3 linked regions of the Arabidopsis thaliana genome follow. The protein of the gene in region 1 interacts with the protein of each later gene in a pairwise test. Each region holds a gene or a part of one and is shown on either strand. Other genes may lie near its edges. The genes, in order: AT3G44620, AT5G44090 and PFK3.

Region 1 (5,525 bases):
TACGAGACAATTCGCCAGCTGGCGAGTCCCACTTCCCTGATTTCATCAGGCTTTTATATTTATTCACTGCTTCATAGTAATAATTACTTCCCAAAAGATTTTTTTTTGAATTAGAAACTGAATATTTAAAAAAATAAATAACTTAACGGAAACTGTTACCTGACGGCGGATTCATGGAAACGTTTATGAGTCTGTTTTTGACGGAGAACGTGAAGGTCACCGCCGGGACAAAACTCCGTTAATAAACAGAGCCATTTCGGAGAATCAATGGCGGCGTAAAGCGTCGGAAGAAACGGATGATCAAGAGATTCGAGAATCTCTCTCTCCGTCTTAGCTCTACCTTCTTTGCTTCTGCTCGCGAGCTCCTTTTTATCCATAACTTTCGCTGCTAACAGAGGTAATTTAACGGCGGTGGTTTCTGTTACGGCGGTTAGGGATTTGAATTCGGCTAAGAAAACAGAGCCGATGTCGCCGGAACCGAGACGGAGACGGAATCTGAGATCGGAGAGTGAGAGAGATGATCGGAGTGAAGGAGGGAGTTTCGAAGATGAGAATGAACCGTGAGCTGATGGTGCTGGTGTTAAAGCTGCGGCGGAGGAGGAAGAGCGAGAACCGGAGCTTGTGCTTCGATTCACGGTGGTTCCGGCTGATGTAAAGCTTACACTCTGTAAGTCGTCGGTTAATTCGTCAATCCATGGCTCCATTTTCCGATCTACTGAGAGTGACGACGAGAGAGAGAAGAAGAAGAAGAAGAAGAGAGGGAGAGAAAGAGAGAAGTAACTGTGAGATTTTGCCTTTTTGGGGAAGAGAAAAAATAGAATCAAAAGAAGATGGCAAAGTTGTAATTTAAGGGTTGAGATATGGTGCGTTTCGTAATTTAAGGTAATAGTTCGATTGTTAAGGAGATGATGATACAGTATTCTATAATTGAGATGTTTTATTTATGTAAATAGACAATAATTAGGGAATTATTTGAGAGGGATTTTTGATTTCTCTATGAATTTTTAAGATCTTTGGTATAGGATTTGTTTCAAAAGAGAGAAACAAAGAGACATATAAATCTAGGCCCCTACAGAATTAAGATAATGACATATACATATCTTGTGTTTGTTCTATTTCAGTTGTGATTACTAGTATTTTCTTCGTATGGTACAATTATAAATAAATATCTAATCACTGTCTTTTGAATATTATGTCACCAAGTACAAGGATGGTGTTATTGGTGAACAATTTGTATCGTGAACTCAAATCCCTATTGCACGAACCTCAGGTTAGTGGTCGACTGGTCGCTCGGCCTCGTTTTCATTTCCTTTGAAACCATTATGGTTTAGATATTGGTTTAACTCAATTGCATATACCTAACCGGTTTGACTCGGGTGAATATGTTAGATAAGGAAAGTGTATATAACCCTTGTATTTTCTCATTAATGAAATCAGCAGAAACATTTTAGGTTGGATAAGGAAAGTGTCTATAACCATATCATTGAAAGACAAATTGCTTGGGTCGAAACCGGTTTTGTTAAGTCCGGCCCTGGATATATTACCAATTTGTAACACTCGTCTTAAACCGGATATTTTCTAGTCAGACCGAAAAAATACAAGTGAAAGAGGTTCAAATAAATTGATAACTTAGAACATTCATAACAATGACCAAAACAAATCTTTTCAATGAGGTTTGTAAATTGTAACTATATATCCGAATTAAAAAATAATCGTCATAAGTACTAACTGTTTTTCGGAGAATGAAATGGGCTATCTGTTGAAAACCTTAGGCCTGAGTTTAAAGACCATCTGTACAATTGGGCCAATAAGTAACGCATTATCCATCAACAAAGTACTGAAACATGAGACACTTAGACCATCTCCATCGGGGGTTTCTTGTAAGAATTTCTCACAATTAAAAAAAAAAAATAATAAAAATGAAGGAAAAAGAGTGTAGAAAGTTTCTCACTTGAGAAACTCTGAGATACTCTTTACAACCCATCATGATAATTCTCTTCTCATTATTGGTTCAACTTTTTAACAAAAATATTTTTTTAATCAAAAAATCAAATTATAATATAATATTAATTTTTTGTTTGTTTGAGAAACTTTGTGGGTTTCTCATGGATAAAAAGGCCCTTAACTTGTCATAGAAGTTACAACACAACATGAAAGTTAAACATCGCCGGCCAAAACAAAAATATTTCTGTGAATTTACACAAAATTATTTGCATTACCGACCATAATGTTCTCCTCAGTACCTTCAACACAATACAACAATACATTAACAAAATTGGTCTTCTAGCATTAGCCTCGTCTCTAAAATCTAACATCTTCTTCTACTCCTAATCCAACAATTGTTTATGTATATTCCCAATTATACCCCTCTATTACTTTGCTTATTACGGAAAAGGAGTTCAAAGAGCAGAAGAAGAAAACTCGTATATCCCAAATCTCCAACTTTTCAGGGGAATGATGATGTACTGTCCCAACCTCACGGCTTCTCTAACAATCCCTTCATATTTACCATTTTGCCACTACACTAGACAATTTCGTCCTTCTCATTTCCGATCATCTGATAAAAACCCGAATCTCGTTTCTATCATCCGAGCAAAACCCAGAATTTCTCATTCGCTTAGGTGCTTTGTATCATCTTCAATGGCGACTCCTCCTCCGACGCAGAGCAGCGAAACCAAACCTTACTCTGTTCTTTTTGTCTGTCTCGGAAACATTTGTCGCAGCCCAGCGGCTGAAGGTGTCTTTAGAGATATCGTGAAGAAGAGAGGTCTCGATTCCAAATTCAACATTGATTCCGCTGGAACAATTGATTATCACGAGGTATGATAATTAGTTCCAAAACAATTAATCTAATTTTAGGGTTTATGAGAGATGCTTGATTCATGGTTGATTTGAAATATTGGTGAATGATGGTTTTGTATGTAGAAAGGTTTGGTTTTGGTTTTAGGTTTTTTTGGTGGATGTAATTTGGTAGGAATACAGAGTTATAGAGACTTTGAAATTCATGTTTCTGAATCAATTTTGATGTGAAATTGCTCTTCTTACTAGGGAAGAGCAAAAACAGTAATCTATTTTTATGGTGATTGATGCTTTGATTGGAACAATTAGGCAATGGTGCTTTCAGATTTTGGTGGATGTAATGTGGTTGTAAATTAGGAGCAGTGGAGACTTTGGAATTTATGTTTCTGATTTGTGAAAATGTTGGTTTTTTAAAAGGGGAATATGGCGGATCCAAGAATGAGAAGTGCTGCGAAACGTCGCGGGATTGAGATAACATCACTATCCAGACCGATCAAGGCATCTGATTTCAGAGAATTTGATCTCATTCTTGCAATGGATGACCAGAACAAAGGTAGCTGATAGAGTAATTTATTCAACCTTTGTAGGGTCTGATCGATTTCTATGCAAATGGGATTCAACATAGGATAGAGACTTTTGCAAGTTGGGATCTGATTAGAGTTATATATGTAGAATTGAAATAAGTATGAGTTTGAATGTTTGATGTTTGCAGAGGATATATTGAAGGCTTATAATGTGTGGAAAGCCAGAGGGAATTTCCCGCCCGATGCAGATAAGAAGGTACCGTTGGTGTGTGTTTGCTGGACTTTGGAACTCTATTTAGTTGATAGATTTTCGTTGAATTTTCAGGTTAAGCTAATGTGTTCTTATTGCAAGAAACACAATGACAAGTTTGTTCCTGATCCATATTATGGTGGAGCCCAAGGTTTTGAGAAGGTAATTACCATTAGACTCTAAAGAAGCTGAATGCAGATATTTAATTTGGTTCATACCATTAGAGGTTGTCTATCAAAATGGTTGAGTCAGTCTATAAGACTTTAAAATGGCATTACCAGTGTCACTCCCAAGTAACTTTTCCATTCCCGAATTTTAGTGTTTTATGTGGACAAAACTCACTTGGAAACATGAATCTTGATCTCTTACTTGTTCTTTCACAGGTACTGGACTTGCTTGAAGATGCTTGTGAGTCTTTGCTGGATAGTATCACTGCGCAAAGTTGATGATACTACAAGTACAAAGTCCCAATCCTAGAACCTTTGTTGTTTTTGCACATAGAACTGAAAAGTTCTCTTATTATATTTAAGTGTCATCAGTGATGACAATAGAGTGAGAACTGATGTGAAGCTTGGATCTTGATCTTGTTGGTGTTTTCCTTGAAAAACCCTTTGTTAAATGATCTACTGATGGATCATTATTATTGAGATTGATAGCTTCAGTGATGTCAATAGTTTGTGAGGAATGATCTTCCTGATTCTTAAGAATCATAGAGAGTGGCACTCTTTACACGCTTGAATAATACGAATTCTTTTGTTCGATCATTATTATTAGGAAAGAAATAGATTTAAAAAAAAAAGAATGTGTGGACGTGAAGTGTTGTTGTTTGAGATGATAACAGAATATTTTCTCTTATCATTATGTGGCTTCCGAGAAATTAAGTGAATGGTGGTGGAGCATATGGACAATGATTTTGTCGTTTGCAATATTTTCCACGAAATCTCACTATATTTTCCATGAAACATCAATGGAGTTTTTCTGTGCCAATAGACTCGTCAACGGTCTATATCCTCATTCACACAAATTGTTTGAACTACCAAAATTCCATTAAACCCGTGTGATTCTTCAACTCTCTGGAGATTTCTCATCGTTTTATGCATCGGTGAGATTTTCATTTTTTTACTCCTCACTGTCTGAACTAAGTTCCAACTATTTTTAAGTTTTGCTTAAGGTTTTATCACTGTGGATTTGAATTGATTTGATGATAATGCTTTATTTGTTTTCGATTAGTGTTTTGAGCCCATTTCTTGATTATGTGTTCTTGATGGTGGGAATTAATGGTTGCAGCAGTGAATCATCAATAATCTAAGTTCTCATGGGTTCTGCAATGAGCTTGAGCTGTTCCAAGAGGAAAGCAACGAGTCAGGATGTTGATTCCGAATCTTGTAAAAGACGAAAGACATGCTCAACAAACGATGCTGAGAATTGCATATTCATTCCGGATGAGTCATCTTGGAGTTTATGTGCCAACAGAGTCATCACTGGTCTGTATCCATTCACATAAAGGCCATCTTAAATCTTGATCCACTCTTTACCATACTAATGAATTATTCTTATTTCCCTTGGCTCAGTGGCAGCCGTAGCTTTAACAAATTTCAGATTCCAACAAGATAACCAAGAAAGTAATTCTTCTTCTTTATCTCTTCCCTCCCTTGCAACTTCTGTGTCTCGAAACTGGAAACACGATGTCTTCCCGAGCTTCCACGGAGCAGATGTCCGAAGAACCTTTCTTAGTCACATCATGGAATCGTTCAGAAGAAAGGGAATTGACACATTCATTGATAATAATATAGAGAGGAGTAAGTCGATCGGTCCTGAGCTCAAAGAAGCTATCAAAGGATCAAAGATCGCAATCGTTTTGCTCTCAAGAAAATATGCTTCTTCGTCTTGGTGTCTTGATGAGTTGGCCGAGATCATGAAATGCAGGCAAATGGTGGGTCAGATTGTCATGA
Region 2 (8,835 bases), on another chromosome or scaffold:
TAATAAATGTTTTCAGTATTTAACTTATTTTTCCAAATTTATCTTTTTCTATAACTCTTTGAAAGAATTATGCTAATACAAGGACACTTCAATTTTTTCTTTTTCCATTTACATGTCTTTTAAAAAATGTTTATATTGTATTTTATTTTTAAAATTTATATGTTAGCTATGTTGTGCCCCAGGTTAATTATGGTTCTAGATCCGCCACTGGAGACTAACATCATCATTCTCATGAAAAGAGTCGCAACGACTATAAAAGTGATCGCCGTTTAGTCTAGTGATGCCGACGATACCAACATCTCATGTAAAAGTGGTCGCAACGACACCCTTACTATTTATTCTCCGTTTTCTTTAGAGAGGCTTCTCCGTAAAGAAAAATACAGAAGCTACACGATCTTGACAAACTCTCAAATGTTTGATTTTGCAAGGAAAGAAAAAAAGTAATAATGAGAAGAGAGAGAAAGAGAGTGAAAAGAAGAAGCGACGAAGAAGAAGAAAAAAAAAGGAACGTGGAAAGATGAAACTTTTTTTTTTTATTATAATTTCTTAATTTTCAGAGATAAATTGGTCAAAAGTTTAATGAAAAAGTTGGAAAAGTGCTTCATCCGTGACAAGTGCCTCAAAAAGAATAAAATTCTTTAAAAATGTCTAAACGTGTCAAATTCCCTTATTTTTAACCGCCATAGAAAGTGAGTTCATGCTTGTTAAAACAAAATGCACGACTTTTTAACACATCTTCCAAAATATCATATTGACAAACAAAGTTTTAATGATTCTTATACAAACAAATAACCAATGTCGGCTCAAACCAATCAAAAACTGATATATAGTATATAATTTGATTTGATATTCTATAGTTTATACGAGAATTGTAGTTGATATCATAGGCACAAATTTGCTAATGAGGAAAAAGCAAAAACAATGATCATGTAAAACAAGTTTCAAGGTTTGTAAATTTCTTCCCACAAAAAAAAGTGTCTTTGTACATAGTTCTTTCGATTTTAAATAAAACCGTTGTTGTTGGTTCCACAAAACACTATAAAGCGGCGTATATAATAATATACATAAGATTGAAAGAGGGTCCAACCTGAGAAACCTAAGCAAGACAAATATTTCATGAAACTAACACAAGCTTACGCATCGGATAAGTCTCTTGGTCGCCAATCTCTAGGTGGAACCGTGGAATGGACTGGCTTTCGTGGTTGTCTGTCTGAAAATTGTTTCCGAGGCTCTTACCACCCAAGAAGATCTGACTTCTCCCTCTTCTTCCCAAGAAACTAGTAAAAAAAGCAACGAAAACGGCTTTTAATACGTTTAATATACCAAAAGATACAAACTTGTAACATTGAGCACATCAATTTTGCTATTTCATACATGCATAAGGAACATGATGCTGACCAGTGTTGAACAAAGTACCTCTTACGAGTCACTAAAATGGAGATTCGAGTGGTTCATCCCAAACATCTGCACTCCCATTCGAGACTTCCTCCACATCTTCCTCCATTGACAACCTCACATACTCTCTCTGAGCAAATCGGTCCCATTCCGTCAATGTTGGATTCTCACGTTCCTGTCAAATGGAAAACAAAGTTGGTTTAGAAGTAGCAGAGACTGGAACAGATACAACCGGCTGCAGTAGTAGGTGACTATCTGAACTTATAATAATTTTTGCGAATTTTTATGGCATTAATAAATATTCAGTAGTAACAGTTTCAACAGCTAAACGAAGGATTGAATAACCAAAGGGAGGAAAACTCTATAGAAAACCTATGTTTACCTGACGAATGAGAAAAGGGTCACGGGTTTCAAACGCCATGAATTTGTTCAGGTTAAAGAGTATATTGAAAATATTTCCAGAAAGTTTGGATGCTTTCAGATCCTGGAGTGTGATGCAGTTCTCCTTCTGAAAGAGTCATTCGACAAATTGATGATGCGAATAAGAGCAAAGGAACAGACAAGCCAGGAATATCAAAAGACCATGTTATGGTTTAAAAGAAATTTTGCCTCTGGTTTAATCATGTCGAATATTTGACATAGGATATCTTCAAAGAGTACAGGTTCCTGGGTTATACATTCCATGCGATGCAGCTGCTCTTCGTAGAAAAACTGCATCTCGTTGGGAGTGATCACCCCATCTCCATCTAGGTCTATGCACTTGAACCTGCAAAGATGGTTTTAATCAATATCAAGGGAAAACGAAAAACAAAAAACTGCCAAGAACCTGTGTTTAACATCGATGGGAGATAGATGAGCATACCAGCGAGGTATGCCCTCATATCAGCGGTTCAACTGAAAATGTTCTAGATTCATGAGATGATGAATGAAAATGTTCTAGGTTCATGAGATGATGAATGAAAATGTCTTAGATTCAAGATGGGTATCCTATGTTCATGAAATAATAGTACTACTAAATGTTTAGTGCGTTCAAAATATCAGGTAGGCTTGTATCATCAAGAAGGCCACATATGCCACAAGTTTTGGCTCAGAAGTTATACATTTATAGTGACATACTGTGAGCTAAGCAGCTAAAGGACAAAATGGCTAAAGAGAAGTCACTAAAGACAAAAAGAGAAGAGGGGAAGAGACATGTACCAATACTCAAGACTAGGCTCAGATGACTTATCCTCCTCAGCGAGAATAAAGTATGCAAAATCTTCATAACTCATCTTCCCCTCAACTTTGCTTGTAAATTTCCTAGGAACCTGAGTGAGAGACAGCCGTAATTTCAATTAAGAAAGAAGGAAACACACTCCATAAGATAACAATTAAGTTTCGAGAAAAGTGTTCATTAACATTTTGACAACTGGAGCCAACCTGTGAAAATATTCTGTCGACAATCCTGTAGGTAAGGGCATGATTACCATATTTGATGAGATTTTCCTTATCAATAAGGAAATCATGGTCGCCATCGAGTTCCCAAAATCTGCAGTATATCACGTAGAAATGCTCATAGGAGAAGTACCTGAAAAGTAAAGAAAAGGTCATATTGAATGGTCAAATCATGCATGATGTCTTGCCACAGTATCACAATATGAACTACCAATACACTTCTTCCTCTTTATGAGTTTTATGGGTAGTGCTTATGTCTAAGAAACAATTCGAAGACCTATGCACTACCCATATTACTCACAATGCTACACACCTTGCTGAGCTTGAATTCTTAAACAACTTAAAGTGGTCTTTATTATACAAATAAAACTAAAATCTTAATCTTTTTAACGTATTGTTTAAGAAATAATGAAAAGGAAAACAAAGTCACCTAATAACTTTATTGATGTCGTCTTCTTCATCAACTTGTTGCATGGCAGTAATAAGATTCCCACGCTTCAGCTCTCTAAGAGTAATGCAACCAGTACCTGATCTGTTTATGTAGTAAAATATTCTGTAGATGACGGTCTCAGCTGGGTTGACGGAATAGAACACAGAGATGAATGAAACAAGCACGGGAAAAATTATGAATTAGTCAATAGATGTATAAAACAGTAAGCACCTGAAAATATACTATATTTAAGAAGCATCTCATAATTTTCAAAATGTAATTATAATGAACAAGTACATAGAATTAAAATTAGAAGAATTATTGCCTAGGCCAATCAAGCCAGCTAAAGATGTCACTTTCAAGTTCGTCAATGCGTTTTGAAAGATCATATATATATGGAAAGAAATTGTACGAACGTCTTAGTAGAAAACAGACATTCTGGTAGAACTATTTCACACCATAACATCAATGTATCAAAAACCAAGTTCTTACCATATCTTTCTTGAAACTCAGGTGTATTCCTCAGGAATTCCAAGCCGGGATGAGTTGTCAGAAGCTCATCAAGAACTGGTTTGAAGTCAGCCTATCCCAAATCCAAAAGAAGACATTAGCCTTCAGGACTAAAGAAATCAAGTGAGACAATAATCATTGGTAAACAAATCAAAACAGCAGTGAAGAGCTGGGAAAAGAAAACAAAGAGACCTGTCTAAGGTACTTGCAACCTGGCTGCCTTAAAATATTATATATCTGTGAGGCTACGTCCATTGCCAACATATGTCCATCAACCCAATACTTGATAAATGCATCCCTGCAGGAACCAAATATGGTGTATTTAAAAGATACTAGCTAAACAGAAAGATTACAGCTGCTGTATATTTCTATGATATTACTCATGATTTGGCTAATTTAAAGATGTATCAATTCCAAACAATATCTACAGGGTAGAAACTTCAATATTACTTATCACAAATGTTCTAAACAATATATAAAATCGAGCACACTAAATTTATTGAAAGTAAAAAGAAATTATATTCGAGTGGCATAAATAAATAAAAAGATAACAATCAGGTATTAAAATTACTATGCCACATTCCATTTCTTTTAAGGGTGAGCAATTTATGAAACAAATAGCTGAGCGTGCATCTGGAAATCCAGACCAATGTGATCTATTATTATATTACATGAAACACATATGAATACCAGTGGATATATACATTTAACTACAATTACATATGAAAAGAAAGAACACAATGATTTACCTTGTAACGATACCGGTGCCACTCGTGTCTATCTTTCTAAATAGTACAGAGGAAAGAAAAGAAGGCAGCTTGCAGACTTCTTTAGTAATGGATTTGAATTCTGCAATTGAACAATAGCAAGAATGTGTTTGTAAGATCAACTGTTTGTCTATTCATTACAGAACGGGACTGTGATGTAAAAAAGCTTGTATTTAAACATCACCATCCATATGAAGTCCGTCTATATAGTTACTAAAAAATTGATCAACCATGGATATACATTGCTCCCTTAGTTCCTTCGCAGGTGGACGTCCATGTTGGAAGTAAAACTGCATAGCATATCAAGGCATAGAAGCGTCAAACAAGAATGTTGAACAATATTAGCTAAACCCTTCAACTATGTAAGATGTCAAACGGATGACCATAATAAACTTACTTGTTGTCATCGTTTTGTTAAAAAAAAAATTGTACCTATGCTACTTGAACGAAGAATTTAGTTTCTATTGTATTTGTTCTCGTGGTTCTCCATCTACTTAGAAAACTATTACAGTCTAGTTTCAACAATTACGTGAGCATATATAAAACAATCAAATCATGATGTCAACTGTCAAGCAAGGTAGTGCCTTCTCATGTTGTTTGTAAGACATCCATATGAGGAGCAGTTGGATAAAAAATCGAACCTGTGGAATGAGTTGGCGCTTTGGTTCCCTGACTGATTTCAGAGGAGACTGTAGAGAAGGGCTTGTCTTTTGCCTCGAGAAACGGGGAGACCCAGGTGAGCCTCGTGGGGATAGTGGGGGAGTGCCGCTGTTCAGAAAAACAGATGGCAATGCACTCCCGCAAGCAACATTGAGACTAGTACAATTTTTGGATACACTGACTGGGGTACTAGATTTAGTATCATCAATTAAAGACTTGACCTGCACAAACATCACACAGATGAACTGTTAAAAGAGGACCACGTAAAACCTTAAACGAAAAACAACCACCAAAAGTTTCTTCACCAACATGAGTCGGCAATCGGCATACAACACTGGACCATATTCTCAGGAGCTTTAAGTTAAATCTGGTACTACACAAATACAAACACTTCTCAAGTTTAGCAGAGCCTTGTAATATCCCAGTACTATTATCACCTAAGTCATTATAACCCCTAAATGTGCTATTCAAGCACTCTTTATCTAACACTAAGTAAAATCTATAAGAAATAAACAAAACTACTAAATATGCAACAGCCGAGGATTCAGTAAGAGCAATAAGCATGTTGAATCTTGCTCTGCAGAAATTGACTTGAAATCAGATAAAGTCACAACAAGGACTTACGAACAGGTATCAGCATATACATAAAACAGGCGCCAACTATTAAATGAACAAGAAACCAAACGACGCTAAGGAGCCACTGAGCCAGAGGCTTGGGAATAAAATTACCAATCGGCCAGTTTCAGGAAGTGAAAGCCACTGGGAGAAGAGTTCTTCAGCAATATGAGGATTTTCTTTAAGTGATACAGGAGACAAACCGGGAAGCTGCAAGAGCTCAGGATCCAAAATCTGAACATCGTTTCCACCATCGATTTCCATGATTATCTTCTATCTTATTCACTGAGAATCAGAACTACAACAAAACCCCAATATCGGAATTCCTTGAGTCAATTCTAAAATTGGATCGAAACCCTAATTTCTTCCAATAACTTGAAGCAGTAACTCCAAAACAGGATTCTCAGACTTTTCAAAGATCTATAAGCACGAAATCCAAAGAAAATTCAATAAAAGCAGCTCTGACCAATCGAGAAACTCTCTAACTAGTTGAGAAACACCAGCTCGAAGAAGAGAAACTAAACGAAAACCAAAATAAACGATTCGATAAACCCTAGATTCCCAAATTCTATCAACAAGCAAAACAGAGTCCTATACAAAACTTCTTCTGCAATTCAAGCACAAACGTGGAAGAAATTGGAAGATCCAAAGAACACTGATCTCTCTCTCCGATCAATAACAAGCTCGACGACGAGAGGAAGTCGTAGAGAATTTTTCCAGGGAGATTGTGTTATTGATGAGAAAATGAATTAAAAAGGAAAAAGTATTTAATTTTGATTTTAATACTCTCTCTCAGTCTCAGACGCAGTAGTACTAGCGGTGGTGGTGGTATTTTTGTTTTCCACTTTTAGTCCTCAACGTTGACCAAAAAGTCAACCAAATCCAGCGTTCTTTATCCGTTTTTGCGATCATGTTTATTTGAGTCTCGAGTCAATTAATAAATCGCAGAAATTAGCGATCAAATTGTTTGTTTGGTTGTTAAACTTCATGACGTTTCGACTGTTATCATCAAGATTGCAACTGATTCATTAAAGTCATAAAAATGTGACTTCACATGTGTAAACCTAGTTTTGAAGAATGATGATGAATATTTGTCATTTCTCAAAAATTGTATTGGAGCACTTGCTTTTTTAGTCGAAATGCAAAAGTATGTAGGAGTAGATCATATGAATCTAAAAATGAATGTATTTTATATGTGTAACTTCAATATGAAATTCAGTTTTGCCACTTTATTCGAAGATGAGCGCTAACAAAATGTGAAGAGTTTAACTATAACCATTCAAGTATACGATCAGTGAATAAGTAAACATTTGAAGTATGGAAAAAATAAAAATAAAGAGTTTTAGATTGGAGTCATCTAAAGTATGATTTGACTAAGTAGATGAGCTAATTTTACTATTAAGCCAAAATTTCACCGTTTTTACATGATTTGACCAGAGTATGCCTGCCCCAAAAAAACAGAAGCATTAAAAGAGACCAAAGAGCAGTTGATTGTTTTGTTTATTACAGTACCAGTACAGATAGGTTCGAAGTAATCGAATATACGGATAGAAATTTTACCGTTTTTACATGGAAACTCTCTCTACATTTTTGATTGTTATGTTTGTCTAACACATATCACGATTACATAAACAAAACGAGTGAAAAAGATCTCTGCAAGCTGAAGCTGAAATTACATGTAAAAAGATCTGAGGATTTCATCAGGTTCAAATATATGAATTCCCTCAAACCAAGATTCTCATCTTTCTTCAGAGGTAATTTCTTTGGGTTTTCATGGAGTTTGCTGTCTCTCTCTCCATCATTTTCCTTTATTTCCGAAGAGAGAGAAGCTCGAAGCTTCTTAATTGATCTTCCCGAGTGTTTCTTGCCGCTGTTGCACGAGAGAAAGACAGAGTCTTGGATTCATATCCAGCTTGCACTCTCTGGCTAGTTGAGGGACGGCCATTTCCACTGCCGCTGCCACCACCACCGCTTGAGGAAACCAGACGACTTGAAGTTCGGCTTTCGCTTGGTCCACCTGCAGAACTTGGCCGGGAGCTTGAAGCAGCAACGGCTTTCCTAGAAGAAGATGCTCTATATCTTGAGGAACTGTTTGCTCTTTCGGAGTCTCCATGCTGCACAAATAAAACAAACACAGTTAGGTCTTTGTCTTATTTAGCGGTTCTGATCAACAATGTATGTAAAGAGTAAGATTTTTACTGTCTGCTTAGAGAAAGGTCCGTCGTCTGAGTTTCTTGATCTAGAACGATCTCGAGGCGAAGAAGTTGTAGTCGGGTGTCTTCTGGAGAATGCCTCCACTGCACCTGGGATTTTATATCGGGTTGTTTCCTTTCCTACACGAATGGTAAATAAAAAAAGAGTAGAAATTAGAGTGAGGAATGGATGTGTATGGTTTTGAGATTTTTAATAGAAGTAGGAAAAGCAGAATTTTACCTAGGATCCTCTCTTGTCTTTCAATAGGATCTGCGTTGAATCCGGGTTTCGCTGTTGTATGATGCTGGAAAATCCAAAGATTTACATTTACGTAAGTACAGAGAAACTCAAAAACCATGAGGGTAAAAACACAAGTATAAGATTTTTAATAATCACCCTTGTTCGTGAACTAGAACCAGAGCTGGATCCGATTTGAGGATACTTTAAGACTGTCCAGTCAAATACATAATCGAATTGATAACCTGTAAGAGTTTCAACAATATGAAAAAGATAAGATGAGAGTGGCTTGAAACAGTAAGCGAATAAAATTTCTCGGAATAATGATGTTAAGATAAGAACCTTCTCGGATAAACAAGTCACGGAAAAGCCTCTTGAGGTAAGAGTAATCAGGTTTGTCATCAAACCGTAAAGATCGGCAGTAATGAAAGTATGAAACGAACTCGGACGGTTGGTTTTTACACAATACCTACATCGAAACATTCCAAGCTCAGTTAGAAAAGCTAGATTACCTACCAATGCCAAAATGAAAATCCTTTCGGTTTGTCAAGTTGTTGTAACCTAACCTCTATAGGAGTTGACACTTTTTTCTCG
Region 3 (7,310 bases), on another chromosome or scaffold:
TTCAAGTAATCACATTTTCTTAAACATGATTAAGTGATTTGTTGTTTCTCCTAATAGCATCTCTAAACTGCTATATATATATATGAATTTTATTACAGCAAGTACGACTTGTACAGTAAGAGCAAAGTTCACGTTGATGTGGAGAAGGTCAAGCCTTACTACATGTCTCTTATCAAGAAAGTGAGTATATATTGCATGCTCATTACAAAAAACAATGAAAAGTGTATTAATATTGAAAACATTCATATATTTCTAAATTCTTCAGCTGACTATAAATTCTTTCTTCTCTTTTTCGATTTTGCAGTATTTCCCGGAAAACTTGAGGTGGTGAATTCGGTGGAGTAAAAAAGTGCCCATGGAGGATTAGTCGTTTTATTTACTTACAAATATTTTTACACATTTTCGAGTTAATGTGAATCTATTGTAATTGTGTTATATATATCTTATGTTAATCATATTCAGGCTGTCTCTGAAATGTAATCACAATCAACCCTCGTGAATGCTAAAGAGTTTGTACGTCGGGTGATATAAGATCTTAAATAATGAAGTTTATTTATAATAATCTAAGCCTCCAAGGTCTAAAAATTGTGCATTGTAATGTAAACAAAGTTTTATTAACGTAACTCTAAGTGTACAATATTACATTAGTACTGATACATCCATGCGAACAATGTCATGACCTTTAATGCTCATACTCAGATAGAGGTGTTCAAATTGATCACGGTATCTTTGCATCTTCGCTTCTGTTAGGTCATGGACAGAAGAGAATTACGTACCAAACAGGTGTAATTCGTAAGATACGTAATCACATATTTCTATATGACGATGATAATGATCTAGTATAACTGTCATTTCGTATGAAATTATCTACAAAATTTATGTTGATCACATGGTTAAAACTTTGAAGGATTCACCATGTTATAGTTGAAAGCAAGAACTTGAATATTTGCATTTTGATTTCAGCAAAGAACATATTTTTAACGTCTTAAATAGCAAATAATCAATCATCACATTGACATGATCATGCATTGACAATTCGTAGCTAGATTATTCTATATATAAGCAGAATGTAAAATGGGATAAATGGAACTTATTTATATGACGTGGGACTAAAGCATCATGACGTGGAAAATTACAACGTGAGGCATCTAACAAAGATTGCTTTGTTATGCCAAAAAGGGTAAAACCGTCAACACCCTATTATTTTACTCAACTACCTAAAACATGTAACATCTTTTGAAAACGCAAAGCTTTTCTGTCGTTGTTCTTATGTTCAGGTCACTTGGTGATCTCTTTGGTGACTGGAGGAACATCCACCACGCCATTGCAGTTACCATCGTCAAGGAGAGCCGACATCGGTTTCTCTTTATTATCAAAGACATCTTTGGGGCCCAAGAAACTCGGCTGGTTTGTCGAAGAGAGTAGCCTTGCCCACATCCTGTCTGTGATCACCACATGGTTCTGTTTCTCCGTTATCCTCTGTAACATAAAAATGATGTTTACATAAAAGTGATACTATGATTATGATGATATGAGGATGATGACTTTAACGGTGATGATAACTGATGACAGTATGATGATACTGGTATAATGATCATGCATCATCAATTTTTGGTGCTCTATTTTTTGATTGCCAAAGCATGCTATCACATCATTAAAATTTAAATCGATTTTATGACTTACGTAAAAGGGTATGTAGGTTTGTCTTCCGTTCACTAGACCACTGATATAGCCAGTGTATCCAGCCATTGCACCGTGCACTGCACTCTGAGCCAGAAGTGTACAATAAACATTGTCTGACGCATTGCTAGGAACAGCTCGAATCATGTATGTTGGATCTGAAATTAAGACAAGAAAAATGAACAATCAAGAAACTCATGGTGGAGAGAATGCAATGCAAGGGATATAAATTGTACCTATGTACTTGAGGTTCATCACCATCTTCTTCTGATTAAAATGATCCTACAACCGAGTAAAACCAAAATTTAGTAGTAGGTGAGTTTAGTCTGATTTTCCTATGCATCAATGTTTGATGCTGTCTCTGTAATTTATGGTTTACCTTGATGCTTTGTGACAGCCAAAGGCCAACATCTTTAAGAAGTTTGTTACCAGATGCATCTTTGAGTGTCATAGATTCCATGCTCTTCGACATTAGATCTTGTCCTGCACCTTCTGCAATCACAAGAACCATGTGACCGCTCTCCTTGAGTCGTTTCTCTATGTACTCAAACAGTCCGCCTTCTCCTTCCAGGTAAAATGGTGACTCCGGAATCAAACAGCAGTCCACATCTCTGCTTGCTAGAGTGGCATACATCGCTATGAACCCTGTTAAAGCAGTGAACAAACTTGTGAAATAGTCTAATAAGAGAGCTTGATAAGGCAAAGAAGAAGTAGAAGAGTGAATTCTCACCGCTGTAGCGACCCATAAGCTTGACAACTCCGATACCATTCTCTATACTCTCGGCTTCCACATGTGCTGCATTAATAGCTCGTTGAGCCTCTTCTACAGCAGTGTCAAACCCAAAAGATTTGTCTATCACCTGCACAAATACAAAAGTCAAGTTCTCAATTTCTCCACATAAGAAATACAGCTCTTCTATAGAGACAAAGCAGTAGAAAGAGATACATACAGGTATGTCATTATCGATTGTTTTCGGGATTCCAATAACTGCAACTTTCAGGCCACGTCTTCTAATTTCCTACATGGTTACCACCAAAAGATCAGTAAACACTGAAATTGTAGAATTGTAAGGTAGAAGTGAAATTTACCTCAAATATGACAGATGCTCCTCGCTGTGTTCCATCTCCTCCTATAATGTAAACCTGAACGATGAAAAAAACTACATCAAGAACGAGTTTGTATGTACTCTTGGAACAGAACACGGTGTAAAGAGGTGATGGTTATCAAAACCTGATTGATTCCTCGATCTTGAATGCTGTCAACTATCTTTGTGGTATCGTGACCACCTCGTGAGGTCCCAAGGATAGTCCCTCCACGCTTATGGATATCATTTACAACTTTAGAGTCCAAGGAGACAGTATTCTTAGCATAAAAGCCTCTATATCCACCCTGAAAAAGTCTCAAGCATGTGAAAATGAAACAAATGAATACCGTGTTTGTTTTGGTAAGAAGGAGATTACAATCACAGAAACTTACATCTATTCCCAGTATTCTCTTCACTCCATACATATAAGATAGACTGCTCACTATTTCTCTAATCACGGTATTAAGGCCAGGACAAAGACCTCCACAGGTAACTATGCAAGCATGCACTTCATCAGATTCGAAGTATACCTGCAGAGAACTAAGTCAACAACAGACCCTATTGAAATGGAAAAAGGACTTTAAAGCAATTCGATAAAACGACGAAAAACCTTCTGACGTGGCCCGGCTCGTCTAAAATGAATCCCCCTTGGACCATCCTTGTGAACAACGATCTAAAACAACAAAAAGAAGAGTCAGTAAGACAAAACATGAGCTCCAAATTCTCAGGATGCCCTGATATTATAGAAAGAACCCAACCAAATATATACCTTTTGAGGAACACTGTCATCAGCATCAACAAAGTATTGCCTGAAAATTTCCAAAAATAAAAAACTAATGTAACAACTGCAGGCTAATGATTGAATCACCATAGGACACAATTAGGAACCTTAGTCACCAAAACATCTGTGAGAAAGGACTTACTTAACCACTGAGTAAGCTGGATTGTCTTGCAATGGATTAGGATAAGTCTACAATAACATAAAACCAAAAGAAAATTGACCATTAATCAAAACTTAACCATCATTCGATCCCAAAAATAACATGGTAAAAGGACAAAAACTCTTAAACCATGCTACAGATTTTGATCCAGGTTCATAATTCTTGAGACCCAAATACAAAAGACCCCTTTTTCTTTACCCTGGGCTATCTTATACTAATCAGAATCTGGGAAATTCATTTCATCTATCTCAAATTCCAAACAAAAAAACTAAACAGTCCTCAGCTGAAAAAATTGATATATAAATATCTATCAACATAGATCAAAGTTTCAACCTTTTGCAACAGTTAAAGCTCAAAAGCAAAAGCTTTAATCAAATCAGATTAAAAAAAGAGAGAGGTAAACATACAGGAAGACCAGGAAGGTAATCGGAGAGATGCGGTACATCTTCTAGAACATAACCACAAGAGCCATTGATGATCTTCGGTTTGCTACTCTCCACAGTACTCATAACGAACGCTCGAAACAGAGGAACAACAATTTCAGGGGAAAAGTCTTATAATATAATAAAAAACGATTTTTTTTTCTGGTATAGAGACTTTTGAACTGGTCAACTACAAATTGAATACGAAAGCAGGAAGAAAGGTAAAAAGAAAGATGAATCAAATCCGTTGATCAAAAACAAGGCGACCCATTTTTATAGGAGTAGAGAAATTTTGACCATTGTAGTCGGTAAACAAATTACAAAGCCAGGTAGAGATAGAGAGAGAGAGGAAACCATTAAAGGTCTTAGCTATGTGCGGAAATGGTGGTTTTGGTCACTGCTTTGTAGATTATTTGACAGTAACGACGACTAGTACAAGTACTTGCAGAGAAAGATCGATATTTTTCTAGAATTGATATTTGTTTATTGGTTTTCTATTTTGTTACCTTTTATTGATTTTTTCCAACTGTTGGGCTTGGTTATCAAGTCAAGGTCAAGCCATGCATTAATACGGTCCGACCGATAACCGAAATAACCGATCCGGTTTATTATTTCTCAGAATTTTGAAACCATGAACCTTTACATGATCAAAGGATACAGGTACTTATTGTTACAATGCATTTCAAAGGAAAACAAAACACAAACAACACATAAACATCACTAATTCAGAATTTTAAAACCATGCACCTTAACATCAGAAGGGTCACTTATTAATTATTACAATGCATTTTCAAACCAAACCTCGGAATAATCTTTGAGTTTCTCCTTCATGATCATGTCGATTTTGCTACCCATTTCCGGAGTTAGATGATTCTTCCAGTCACCAACTATCCCTTTGCGGAAATGGTTCTTGTACTCTATGCCATTGATTGACTTTCCGGTCTTGTTAACCTCCAAACTGCTCAGGTTAGGCAGAGAACACATCTCCAAGATCTTATTTAGAGATCCGTTCTTTTCTTCTTCCTTAGAAAATGGACAACCCAAAAACTCTGCGAGTTTCTTGAGCTGACCATGAGGATCTGTTTTTATCTCATCATACCTCATGAAAAGCACTTGCTTTGGCTTTTCCAAGCTAGCTTTCCAGTAACTCAGGATATGATCCCAAAACGGACCAAACAAGCAGACTCCGCTGCAAAAGGACTCAAACATAGACTCAAGAATGGTTCTGTCCTCTTCTTTATTCAGACTCCTGCAAACGATATGCCAACGTGACACCAGCGAATCTTTCGCGTCCCTGCAGATGTAAACCACCTTGCAAGGAGAGTCCTTGACAGCTACTTGCAGCGTGTGGAAAGGCGTGTGAGTAGAGAACAACCTTGGAGATGATGATGAGAGCTAGGTCAAGTCCGGTGTTTGGGTATCCCGGTAAAGATTCATCTCAAGGACAGGTACGAGGTTGTGAGGATTGTTGGATAGAAGAGGATGGCTCATAGGATCATCATGAGAAGGGTTCTTTGTTCTCTCAAAAAGCGCGACAGTGAGTGCCTTGAGCCACAGGGTGCCGGATTTTGGGTACGATGCGACGATAATATCAGTGTCTTGAGGCTTAAAACCTCTCTGGAAATTGAGAACACCTTGGAGAAAGTTGTAGTAATACCAAGAGCCTTGGTACTTGCAGAGGTTTCGACCGAGGTACCCTTTCTCTGAAGAAAGTGAAGAGATTAGAGTCTTTGTTTCTTCCGTTAAGTCTTCGTCTCTCAAGTTCATCCACTTCTCCATTTTTCTTTTGTTTTTACTTTTAGCGACTTATTTTGAATGCTGTGTTTGCTTCAAACCCCTAGTATCACTATTTATATTAAAATGTTAAAATATATGATCCAATAAAACGTTTACACATCACTTTTAAAAATATTTATTTTATTTTATTACGAACATGTATCTCAAAAATCGAGAGGCAATAGTGACGTACAAAAACAAAAAGAGAGATAACGTGGTAGGGGATTATGAAATTATGAATCAGAAATTATAGTGCATGTATTTTTATACTAGAAGTGTAATACATACAAAAAAAAGTTCTTTTACTCGTGAAAAGTATGTCTTCCTATAACTAGCATACGATAACTATAAACTTGATATTTTTAAAAGTAAAAATTCTGTCTTCTTTGTCTATGAGATAATAGGACATTAAAATCCAAAGATTCCAAAATTATCTTTTCTGCTGCCAAGGATTCCATTCACTTTCCAACTGGTATCTACCATCGATTTTTATCTATTTGTACCTCAGCCTGCCCGAATGGTCATTTGATGATTCAATAATATACAATGTCCTGACCTATACATATCACTTAGGGCATCACTTATTCACTTTAATCGAGAGTGTTTATATTGGAAACGTACATGACATCGCAATGTCAGCATTAATTATTTAAATATTTTAATATATTCCTATCGCAAGATAATGTCTAAGTTAGATTATAGGTTCAACATTCTGCAACTTTCATATATTTTTTTTTTAAGCTGGTTAACAGGTTAGTTTAAGTGTTTGACGTAACCATAAGAGAATTGATTCATTTTAGCTTGTGTGTAATAGTTGGCGGGAAGGGTAATTTTGTTGGCATACTCTTCTCTGCTATTTAACCAGGGCTTGAATAACAAATATGGATGTGACATTGACACAGTTCATAAGCAAATATACAAAATTGAGGGAGCAAATTTACGTAACATTTTGTAAAATTTACGTGTATATATAATTTATCATTAGCTTACAATTTTTATACTCGTAGAATTGCACAACACCATAATTAATGCATAAAATCTCCATTTATAATTCAAACCATCATTTAGAAATTAAGAGATGACCATATGTAACATGTTAGGGTAGATGTGATTATGGTGCTAAACTAAAGAAGAAGACTAGATTGTTGGAACGAAATTAGAACTCACGGAACACGTTGGCATGTCCAGGAGAATAGTTATTTACATGACATCATTGATAGCATAAAAAACATGGATAAAGTTAATAACGTTCAAATGGTCACCATAATTACAACAATTTCCTTTAAAGCATTCACAACAATTTCTGATCTAGAATGGTTATATCTACTCGAATTTGAATGGAAAAAAAATAAAAATAAAAATAAGATAAAAGAGTCAACCTTATGTCCAATTCAAGATAATTGTTA

Evidence for each region.
Region 2: the proteins of AT3G44620 (region 1) and AT5G44090 interact in a two-hybrid assay, tested with the Arabidopsis thaliana proteins (one large-scale study listed by BioGRID).
Region 3: the proteins of AT3G44620 (region 1) and PFK3 interact in a two-hybrid assay, tested with the Arabidopsis thaliana proteins (one large-scale study listed by BioGRID).

Annotation. Positions count from the first base shown.
Region 1 is NC_003074.8:16,191,404-16,196,928, forward strand, and holds AT3G44620 (protein-tyrosine phosphatase), read left to right. Parts: upstream 1-2,425; 5' UTR 2,426-2,454; coding exon 2,455-2,820; intron 2,821-3,216; coding exon 3,217-3,352; intron 3,353-3,511; coding exon 3,512-3,735; intron 3,736-3,956; coding exon 3,957-4,019; 3' UTR 4,020-4,430; downstream 4,431-5,525. Other genes in the region: AT3G44610 (Protein kinase superfamily protein), read right to left, coding at 160-704; AT3G44630 (Disease resistance protein (TIR-NBS-LRR class) family), read left to right, coding at 4,889-5,057, 5,145-5,525.
Region 2 is NC_003076.8:17,741,835-17,750,669, forward strand, and holds AT5G44090 (Calcium-binding EF-hand family protein), read right to left. Parts: upstream 6,692-8,835; 5' UTR 6,076-6,691; coding exon of another isoform or gene 5,926-6,075; 5' UTR 5,761-5,925; coding exon 5,506-5,760; intron 5,418-5,505; coding exon 5,178-5,417; intron 4,827-5,177; coding exon 4,721-4,826; intron 4,619-4,720; coding exon 4,519-4,618; intron 4,068-4,518; coding exon 3,962-4,067; intron 3,843-3,961; coding exon 3,752-3,842; intron 3,402-3,751; coding exon 3,260-3,401; intron 2,963-3,259; coding exon 2,815-2,962; intron 2,703-2,814; coding exon 2,593-2,702; intron 2,162-2,592; coding exon 2,005-2,161; intron 1,904-2,004; coding exon 1,778-1,903; intron 1,571-1,777; coding exon 1,430-1,570; 3' UTR 1,417-1,429; intron 1,278-1,416; 3' UTR 932-1,277; downstream 1-931. Other genes in the region: ckl7 (casein kinase I-like 7), read right to left, coding at 7,620-7,925, 8,011-8,144, 8,245-8,308, 8,401-8,486, 8,584-8,710, 8,808-8,835.
Region 3 is NC_003075.7:13,299,816-13,307,125, forward strand, and holds PFK3 (phosphofructokinase 3), read right to left. Parts: upstream 4,626-7,310; 5' UTR 4,216-4,625; coding exon 4,114-4,215; intron 3,736-4,113; coding exon 3,689-3,735; intron 3,575-3,688; coding exon 3,535-3,574; intron 3,439-3,534; coding exon 3,376-3,438; intron 3,296-3,375; coding exon 3,158-3,295; intron 3,071-3,157; coding exon 2,912-3,070; intron 2,824-2,911; coding exon 2,770-2,823; intron 2,700-2,769; coding exon 2,631-2,699; intron 2,541-2,630; coding exon 2,411-2,540; intron 2,326-2,410; coding exon 2,060-2,325; intron 1,963-2,059; coding exon 1,917-1,962; intron 1,839-1,916; coding exon 1,684-1,838; intron 1,480-1,683; coding exon 1,279-1,479; 3' UTR 963-1,278; downstream 1-962. Other genes in the region: MIOX4 (myo-inositol oxygenase 4), read left to right, coding at 1-5, 99-180, 305-331; AT4G26280 (P-loop containing nucleoside triphosphate hydrolases superfamily protein), read right to left, coding at 4,906-5,523, 5,581-5,907.